2 linked regions of the Caenorhabditis elegans genome follow. The protein of the gene in region 2 purifies or fractionates together with the protein of the main gene of each other region. This does not show direct contact. Each region holds a gene or a part of one and is shown on either strand. Other genes may lie near its edges.

Evidence for each region. Proteins that work in one complex are often made in the same cells at the same time.
Region 1: the proteins of rde-3 (region 2) and mut-7 purify together in Caenorhabditis elegans (affinity purification with western blotting, with the first as the bait; one study listed by BioGRID). This does not show direct contact.

The regions. Positions count from the first base shown.
Region 1 is NC_003281.10:9,538,501-9,544,166, forward strand, and holds mut-7 (Exonuclease mut-7), read right to left. Parts: upstream 3,881-5,666; 5' UTR 3,856-3,880; coding exon 3,666-3,855; intron 3,595-3,665; coding exon 2,778-3,594; intron 2,731-2,777; coding exon 2,593-2,730; intron 2,545-2,592; coding exon 2,350-2,544; intron 2,302-2,349; coding exon 1,600-2,301; intron 1,550-1,599; coding exon 1,164-1,549; intron 1,112-1,163; coding exon 985-1,111; intron 934-984; coding exon 756-933; 3' UTR 531-755; downstream 1-530. Other genes in the region: ZK1098.3 (uncharacterized protein), read right to left, coding at 106-198; eif-2Balpha (Translation initiation factor eIF2B subunit alpha), read left to right, coding at 4,642-4,756, 4,809-5,074, 5,138-5,319, 5,379-5,580, 5,629-5,666. UniProt on the Caenorhabditis elegans protein: Represses the transposition of Tc1, Tc3, Tc4, and Tc5, perhaps by degrading transposon-specific messages.
Region 2 is NC_003279.8:6,356,112-6,360,250, forward strand, and holds rde-3 (PAP-associated domain-containing protein), read right to left. Parts: upstream 2,300-4,139; 5' UTR 2,285-2,299; coding exon 2,108-2,284; intron 2,064-2,107; coding exon 1,825-2,063; intron 1,776-1,824; coding exon 1,557-1,775; intron 1,510-1,556; coding exon 1,417-1,509; intron 1,366-1,416; coding exon 1,280-1,365; intron 1,230-1,279; coding exon 1,031-1,229; intron 960-1,030; coding exon 834-959; intron 788-833; coding exon 601-787; 3' UTR 503-600; downstream 1-502. Other genes in the region: Endoprotease bli-4, read left to right, coding at 29-182, 233-347; K04F10.3 (Vacuolar protein sorting-associated protein 28 homolog), read left to right, coding at 2,564-2,637, 2,681-2,774, 2,819-3,001, 3,049-3,216, 3,311-3,513, 3,981-4,047.

The DNA.
Region 1 (5,666 bases), on a different chromosome or scaffold from region 2:
CAGCGGTACGGTAGCTGCCAAGTATCGGTTGTTTCGAGACCCGCTACCGTATTTGTGGTTCAAAACTAAAAATTAGGGTCCCTCATTGAATGAAAAGAAGCCTACTTTGAAAATCTTCATTCTTGCATCAATAATCTCAAACTTCAGTGATTTTTGCTTATTTTCCGGAACATCTTCCGATGATGTTGTATCTCCCATCTTAAAAAAAGATTTTTATATCTAATAATTCAAATTTATGAAAAAAAAAAGAATTTAAAATTGTAGAGCCTTGCGAAATGAACATGTTAATCACTTTTCTCAAAAATTGGAGAAAGTTTTGAATTTAAAGAAGAGTCACTATTAAACTAAACATTTAAAATAAGCACGAAAAATTCATTTACAAAAGTAAAGAAGAATCAATTGAATGTGTTCCCGCTCTTCCACCTCTCTCTCATCCTGCGTTTCTTTCTTTTCTATGACTCTATTTACGACCTAGAATATATCGATCGTCGTAGCGCGATGTAGCGGTGCATCTCAGGAAAATAACAAATAAACAACAAAATATTCATTTGAAATGAATAATGCCAGATGAGGCAAAAATATTAACAGAATAAGTATTGAATATTAAAAACCGTTGAACAGGGAGAATAAAACTAGATAAACTTAGAACTATTACCGGGACGAGGTGATATTACATGCAGGACACAAAATGTGGATAGGAAAAAATAAGAAAAATGGTACAAGTTTAAAACGAGAAGGGGAACGGGATTTCGAATTCAACATTCCTGGCTGGTGCTCTCCGACGCTTGATTGCCACGACCATCACAAGCCACCGTACCGCATTCTCCACACACATAGAAGCTGAGATTTCGACGCTTGAACTCGTCATCAGGCACTTTGTGGATTCGAACTTCAATTCCATCTGGCAGATTGGTGTGAAGTGCAGTTTGTCGCCTAAATAAAGCCAAATTAGGTTTTAATAATATTAAAGGATAAATTTCTTACGTAATATGTAGGCATCCTGTGGGAACAGTTGCCACGATCCACTTGCTTGTTGGAGATGGTCGCGACATTTCCACTTTTACTCCGTCGTAGTCGTCTGGATTGATATGAAGCATACGATTCCACCATTCTATAAGTAAAAATAAATTTCCATGTTGACCGCAAGCGAGAAATAAACTAACCTTCCAGTGGAAATTCGCTCATATCCGCACGATAAACATTTTGCACATGGATGACACAGTATTGGTGCAAGAAATGTAAAACTGGTCCGGGGAATTTAATTTGAAGCCGAGAATTGCATTCAGTGCATCGAGGATATACGTCTTCCGGACGAATATCTACGTTGAACAGGTCGAAAAACTCAATAAGCTGATCTACGGGAGACATGTTATTGAGTTCCGGAATTGCAATTGTATAATTATCATAATCCATTTTCAAGGCTTCGTAACTTTTCGATGGCACTGTGATTATATGACGTAGATGCTCGCCGCCAACTCGTTCAATTTCCTTCAGGTACTTTCGGAAGTCGCTCACGTCTTTTGGAAGAATAACATCAATTCCAACTCTCCTGAAATAAAAATTTTCAACTTTAACATTTTTTAAAGATAAACTTCAAACCTCAGATTCTTTCCAAATCCAATCAGCATTGTGTCAACAATAACTTTAATGTCGTGTGGTCGCTGTGGTGATCTCGTAGGATTACGATGGCTTCGCAAGATATCGTAGAGCTCAAGCCATGGAATAGTTTTCAGCTTGCGGTACGATTTGTGTCCTTTGTCTTTTTTCGGAGCCATTACATTTGATTCTCTGACAATCTTCTCGATATCTGCGTCCTTGTTTTTCTCCTCTACAATCGACAAGATTTTCTTGAATGTTTCCACCACGACAACTGCGTCCAATGCTGCGTACACAATTTGTTTTTTTCGCAGAGGACGACATTGCCAGTTACTGCATTGTTCAGTTTTGTCGAGCTCCAATCCCAGTAGATAATGTGTCAAATCTGCCAATTTGAAAGTCTTCTTTGGCAGCTCTAAAATTTCCATGTCGATATCGCAAACATTCTCTGCTAATCGCTTCAGATCGAATGCATTTTTGGTATCTTCTATCTTCATGGATGACTTCAGTGCTGGGATTGTAGCCATTGCATCCAGATCGTTCCTCATATCAAATCCTACGACTTTTACAGGAGAATCTCCGAACAATCGAGATGCGAACTTTTGCCACCAGTCATCTGCCATATTTGCCTTTTCTAATTCTACGCAATCCACAAGCCATACACAATTTTTGAAGAACAATTGTATGATAGCAATTTTCGAGTCACTGAAAATCGGTGCATATGGAATTTTAAGAATGAAATTGTTCACTTACTGAACAGCTGTAAGATTCGACGGTTTCCACTCAGAATCGAATCCAACGTAAACAGGTGCTGGCTCGTCGCTTAGTGATTTGATCTCGGAACATAAGTAATTCATCTCAGATTCAGTTTTCACCATGTGGATTTGAGTTCTTCGCTCATTCTCAAATACGAATAATTGTTCGCCATTTAGAGGAACTTGCAGTGTTCTGAACAAAAATGGTTTTAAAAAAGTCGAAGAAATCGAAAACAATTACTTTCTTCTCACTAGAAGTTCTTTTGCTTCTCTGAGCTTCGAATCAGGTTGTCGAAAGAAGTCCCTCATAACATTCGGCAGTTGATAGCTGCTGGAACTAGCGATTCCTAAGTAGATAGCAAAGCAGATGGCATCTATTCTGAAAATTGAATTTTAGAAAGAAAAATCTTTTTGAATGTCACTTACTGTTTCTCGGTGTCATTTGAGCTCCACAAGTAAAACAAAATAGGTTCACGAACATCTTCGGCTTTGGTAAAAGTTTCAACCATATGCTGGAAATAGTTGTCATCGGATTTTCCCTTCTCGTATCGTTCACTGATATTAAACTTCAATGCCTTCAGATTCCCATTCTGTGAGTGGTTTTTGGCGAACTTCGACAATTCCCTGGAGAAGTTGTATTCGTGAGTATTTTTGTTGATAATCGTCGAAATGAGTTTGTCCAACGTTTTTCCCGTCAATTTCTCCATAGGAATCGTCATAATTTTGGTTTCCTTGTAGGGTTTCAGCATCTCTTCAACGGCAACCACTGAGATTCCAACCATTCGATCAAAAAACTCTACAAGCTGCTGTTGCATCCTCTCATTGTTACTTATCAATTTATAAGCCGTTTGATCTTTGCCAGATAGCATTAATGGAAGAACAAGATGTTCGAAATGATGATCCCGTAGAAGATTGTACTGAATAGCCATATCTGCAGCAACGGAGAAGTCTTGTTTCTTGATGGCAGCATCTAGCAACTGTGTAATGTCCTCAGTGAATTTCTCTTTGGTGATATCGAAGATTTCACTGAGAAGCTGCTTTTGTCCAATTGTGCACACATCTAAGGCGTTTATTTGAATAGTTCCAGTCAGATATTTCTGTCTGAGCTCCGTCTCCTGTCCCGACTCTTTTAACCAAACTCCAAAATCCTCCAGATACCAAACCGCCAAACTTTGTCCCGATGTTTTTCCTCTATCCGGCATCGCTTTCATCATATCCACAGCCATTCCGTAGATGTTGACTCCTTTAAATGTATAGATTATGAATGAGGGTTTTTTAAAGTTTTTAATAATAAAAGAACTTTAAAATGTTTACCTGATCTATAGTCCTCGTTGAAAAATTCTCGATTTTTGGCTCGAACTTTTCTCTCCCGCTCAGACTCGGGTCCATTCATAATTGCTTTCAGAACTTCCCGGCGTGACTTCAACGGTTCGGCGTAGTCTGTTCGATATTTTGCCTTTTTCTCGGCTTTCGTTAGCTTTCTTTTGTACGGTTCTTCTTCCATTTTCGAAACGGACAAGCTTGATTCTGTAAAAAGTATAAATAAATATTTGTCGAAAAGTTAGTACAAAAGAAATTAATCAAAGAACAAGGAAAACGTGTTTCCCCACGAGAATTCGTATTACGGAGAGGAAAATCTAGAAACGGCCCAAAAACCGAAAGAACAACAGAAAAGCGTTGTGGATTATTCGATATCCAGCACTTTTTGCACAAATTGAGGCAAAAATAATGGAAAAAGAACCAAGAAATCAATGAACAAAATGGAAAATGAATTTTTAAAAAATTGTCGATGGTATTTAAGATGTGCAGGTTAGCGAATAGTACTGTATCACGGCGGCGATTCAAATGATCTACGAAGCAATTACACGAGGAAAATTAATGGAGATTATGGAGCAAATTGAGGGAATTAATTATAGTATAAAAGTTTCGAAAAGGAAAATTATTATTTATTATCCTATTTAGTTCGCCACACAATGGGAGATTTTAGATGCGTAAATAGTTGAGAGTAGAAAGTAAACTGACTGACTCAAAAAATATGTTTAAAATGTTTATTCGAGATTGAGAAAATAAATTAAATTTCACGAAACCTTTTAAATACATAAGTAAAAAAATGTTTTGTTTTTAAATTTGCCACTATCAAAACTGTCTAACTCTCTAACTCTTATCTTCTCTGCGTAACGATAGAGCGCGTTTACATCATTATTTTTTCATTAAATTTTTTCTATAAATATTTCTTCTTTCTACGACAAACGTTCTCCATTATTGTTTTTGCAGACTTTTTCCATCTAACATGGTTCAAGAAAGCATTATTTCATCTTTCCGTGGAAAACTTGAAAACGATCCAAGCAAATCAACGAGTCTAGCCACAGTGGAAACACTGCTCGAGGTTTTAGACCGGAGTCGCGGTAAGTTCCTGAATTTGAATATTTAGGCAATTAATTTTTTGCTTAATTACAGCCACCACCGTTGCCGAATTTCAAAATGAGCTAAATCAAGTAGTTGCTGCTCTCGAGAAAACGGACTACAGCTCAACATCAATTCGAAGTGCCGCTGATTTGTTCACCAGATTCACTTCTCTGGCTCCAGCTGCTCTTCTCGATCAAGAAGATTTTTCTCAAGTTCTTGATCTGTATCGCCAACGAGCACGCTCATTTATAAAGAATGTCAGAGGTTCTCGAGCCAAAATTTCCAAGTGCGCTCGTCTATTTTTCACTCATCATATGGTACGTTTTTTTTTCTATTTAAATAATTCCTATTTAATGTATTTTAATCTTTGTATTTTCTAGAATATTCTGACACACTCATACAGCAAAGTGGTTCTGGAAACTATTCTTGATGCTCACAAAAGTGGATATCACCTTCATGTCTGGGTCACCGAATCGCAACCGGATGCTTCAGGAAAACTAGTGTTTGAAGAATTGAAAAAGAATGGAGTTCCAACTACTTTAGTTCTAGATAGCTGTGTGGGGTGAGTGGAAATTATAAAAAACAATAAGAAAAACGTATATACATTTTTTATTTTTTAAGATATGTCATGGAAAGAATTCAAGCAGTTCTAGTTGGCGCTGAAGGAGTCATGGAAACCGGTGGAATCATCAATAAAATTGGAACTGTTAATGTTTGTATCATCGCAAAATCACGGCATGTTCCCGTCTATGTTTGCGCTGAAACTATCAAGTTTGTACGGGAGTTCCCACTCAACCAGGCCGATATTCCCCAAGAATTCAAAGTAATCAATTTATATCAAATAACTCAATCAGATCTTTCATTATTTCAGTATCGAACATCAGTAATTGAGAGAAACAACCTAGAATT
Region 2 (4,139 bases):
CCAGGTATTCTCACAATTATTTTTTCAGAGGACTGCTCCAAGCCGGATCCTACACTTTTGATTGATTCTAATAAATCATCTGGATTTGGATTGATGTTCTGGATTGTAGTTAGTTTGATTGCGGCTTGTGGAATCTGTGCCTGTAAAAAGTGTGCAAGTGAGACGAAAAGCTCAAACGTAGAGTAAGCCTTGCTAGTTATCGTCTCCGTAATTCGAATTTTAATATTTTTAGATATGCGCCGCTTGCTCAATATAATGCCACAAATGGTGCTATCAATTTAGGAGCACACACTGACGATGAAGACGATGATGAGGATGAAGTATTTGTGAACCCTCAAATTGTTTAAACCAAACCTTTCAAAATTCATGTTTTTAATTGTAATTTTTCTGCCAACTTCTTTGTGTATGCTTGTGAAATCCGGGTAATTGTTTCTTTTTCAAAATTTTAAAACCTGAAACGTTTTCAAGTGGCCTTTTATCATGTGATTGTATTGTTTCTTTTGTCTTATACCGGGTTTATTTTTATTATACCGTACTGTTTCCATGTTATAAATAGATTGTTGAATTAATTACACAAGACAAAACATCGACATATTAAGACTATACAAATGAGTTCCGACAGTAGACACCTAAGCCGACTCGATTCACTTCTGTGGCTTCAGCTCGGAAGTTTCGAACTTCTGCACGCGATGGTTTAGGCACTTCTGGTGACATATTGATAATATCATCTAGTGTAGGAAACGTGAATTCGGAGCCTTCGACAGGGAGAAACTTCTGATATGTGCTTCTGAAAGTAAGCAATTAATTAAAATCTGTGTTTTCTTCAAGGTTACCTCATAACATCTTTAATTCTATTCAATGTTCTTACAGTTCTTCCCGGGTTGTGCTCATCGAATGGATCTTGAATACACACCTCTTTGTTTGTTGAACTACGAACCATATTGTTTTGTGATGTTCTTCTGAAATTTCAGTTTATTATTTTGAAGAAGATCCAATTGGTTAATTTGTATTCACAGAAAAAAAAATCTACCGATCCATGACCATTACAGGCCTGGCACCAATGTAGTTTTCTTTGAAGTTGAACATCGAGTAGTAATATAGAAATTCGATGAACAATCTTGCCAGTGGAGCATTATTTGGGGCAATTCTAGGAAGAGGCTTGGGAAGTGGTGCACCAAAATTCAAAATTGATGGATAGACTTTGTCATCCCAAGCAATGAAATTATCCTCTGAAATGTTTAATTATGAAAAAAAAACAACAGAGAATATATTCACTCACTTTTAAAGATTTCTTGCAAATTTGGCAGTATTGGTGGAAATGTACCGCATTGGAGGAAGTGAATCACCAGTAGAACAAGTGCATAACTGAAATTTCAGAATTTTAGATAAATTCAAATAAAGTGATTAATATTTAACCTGTTGAATCCTCCATCTTTTGGATCTTTAACTTTTGTACTGGCTGCCCATTGTTTTACGATTGCACATAATGGTGCAAATCGGCCGTCGATACTTCAAAATTAATTGGAAATAGAATGTCTAACAACAAGAAAACTAACTGTGCCAAATGTCGAATCAAAAAAGAATTGTGCATCGATGACAGAAATCGATCCATAACTACACTGATATCACAATCGATTCCGTCTACCGTCATCACTTTCAAAATTTGAATTTGAGCTTGAACGAGCTGGATTCCATGTTCCCAATTAATTCTTGAATTGATCTGTTCATCATTTTGTAAGTTAAGACGGACAATTTGTAGGATTTCCAATTGAATTCTGTAATTTATGTCATTTAAATAATTAATTAATCCCGAGAAAGCCTAACTCTCTCCATGATGCTTGTCGTTCGTCATCTGTGATATTTCTTCCACGTTCTTCTTGTTCCAGAACTCTTGCCGCTTGTGGGATATGAATTGCAACGTCTAGATCACTGTTTTTAGTGGCCAATCCGGTTACTGTACTTCCAGTTGGCACGATATTGAATAGCCACGTTGGATTGTTCTTCGAAATTATATTCTTCAGCTGATAGCACCAATCCATTTTTTTACCGAACTCCTCTTTTGGCTGAAAATAAGGAACTCTTAATTTTTCATTTAATTCAAAGCAACCTGTTTCGTAGTATCGAAATGATCCTGCATACTGATAGACAATATATTGAAATCGTCCTCGTGATCCCTTAAAACGCGTTGAAACTTTCCGTTAAATTTGTGAAACGCTTTTGGATTCGCTTTGACCTTAAAGTCTATGTCTTCTGGACTTCGCTGATCTTTATTTGGTTGAGACATTGTTGTTACTACAAAAAATATTCAATTATTATTCTCATTGGAGGTGAAATAAAGCGCGACAATATAATTCTTTTAAAAAACTGGAAGGAAATGCACAAATGTGCTTGCTGTATAAAAATGAACATTAACATTCCAAGAAACGAATAAACAATTTTATGAATTTCCCGGACTCGCACCGATACCGCGCAAAGGAGTTGTGTTAGCGCACTCTCCGTGCACTATGCACATTCTTCGTTTCTCCAACGATTTTTTTTTGTAATTTAATCAAAAAAGCGAAGCATGTCCGATGATGAAAGTATTTTTGTTCCCGATGAAAATTCAGCACAAGTTTCTGCAGAAACGACTGTAAAATGGTAAGTCAATCTGTTCATAATAATGTTTTTATCGCTTCAAAAGTTACAGGACTGATAGCGCCAGTTCGCAGAAGGTTATCAACAATTTGGAGAAATTCGTGCTTAATCAAAGTCTTGACAAGAGTTATAAAAAGATTGTAAGTGAAATGTATTAGTGTTTCAATAACTAATCTTCTTGCAGGCAAGTGACGGCATCGCCAGCAGTAAAAGAACCCTCGAATCGCTTTTAGCTCGGAATGGTGGACATCAAAACCTTCTTAATGAAGAAGTTAACAAACTAAACAATAAAAACTACACTTTGGATGCGGATGGACGAGTTTGTTTGGTTAAAAATTCTTCAAACGACACGAGCCGCCACCAAGAGGTTTTTGTACCAATGTTTTTGAAAACCCTAAAAACGAGTTCATTCAGTTGATTCTTCTACAAAAAGACACCCATGAGCTTCGATGCCTTCGCGAATATTTGATGTTAGCTCTTGAAGCAATTATGCACAATCATCGGCAGATGATGGTCAAACATGTTCAGAACGTCAGAGAAAGGCCAAGACAAGTTTCTCAAGCAGCTATAGATAACGCAATAGTGAGTTATTTTATAAACTCAAAATTTAAAAACGTTTGAGGTCTCAAGCGCTTTTGGGCTTTTTATTGAGGCTTTTTATTCATTTTTGTTTCAGGAAAAAGCCAACACACGCATTATTGACGAATTTGCTCAGATGACACTCTTCGTCGATCAGTCCATTGCTCGCGAAGAAATTCGGTCGGAAAACAGACGAAAATTAAAGAAAACCATTGAAATTGAGACTTTTTTGATGAGAATGATGCTCGAAATGGAAGATATTCGGGAAGCAAATGTGAAAGATTTGGTGTCATTATGGCGGTAAATTATTATAAATTTTTAATTCAAATTATTTTCAAATTTAACGCTTCAAAGTAATTCTTACTTATTTATCACATATTTTTGTCGTTCACGACAATTTTTCATTGATTGCGATTTTTGGTCGATAGATGAAATTTTTGCATAATCGACGGAAATGTACCAAAAAACTCATAATAAATGGAAAAATATGCAAATAGTATGAAAAAATTTTGTAAGATTTTTTTGTTGAAATTTTAACAATTTTAGCCATTTTTTGACTCTAGTTACTAGTTTTTTGTCCAGTGTATTTTTTGTTAAATTTTTTAAAAAACAATTTTTTTAAGTTCATAAGTTTCCAGTAATTTTTTTTTCGAAAATTTACAAATGGTACATTTTTTTCGAAATCGTCGTAATAAAATATGATCGAATATTTTTTCCAAAAAATTTGCTACCTCATGATTTGTCTTTAAAATTCTTTTTGTTTTCAGGAGTCATCAACGTTCTGCAAAAACTCAACCAACGAATAACAACGCTGCTGGTGATTCTACAAACTAACTTTTGAATTCTTCACAATCGAAAAATAGAAAATCCACTGTCATATCAAAATTCCTTAACTAGAATCTCTCACCAACTCGTTTATAAATGTA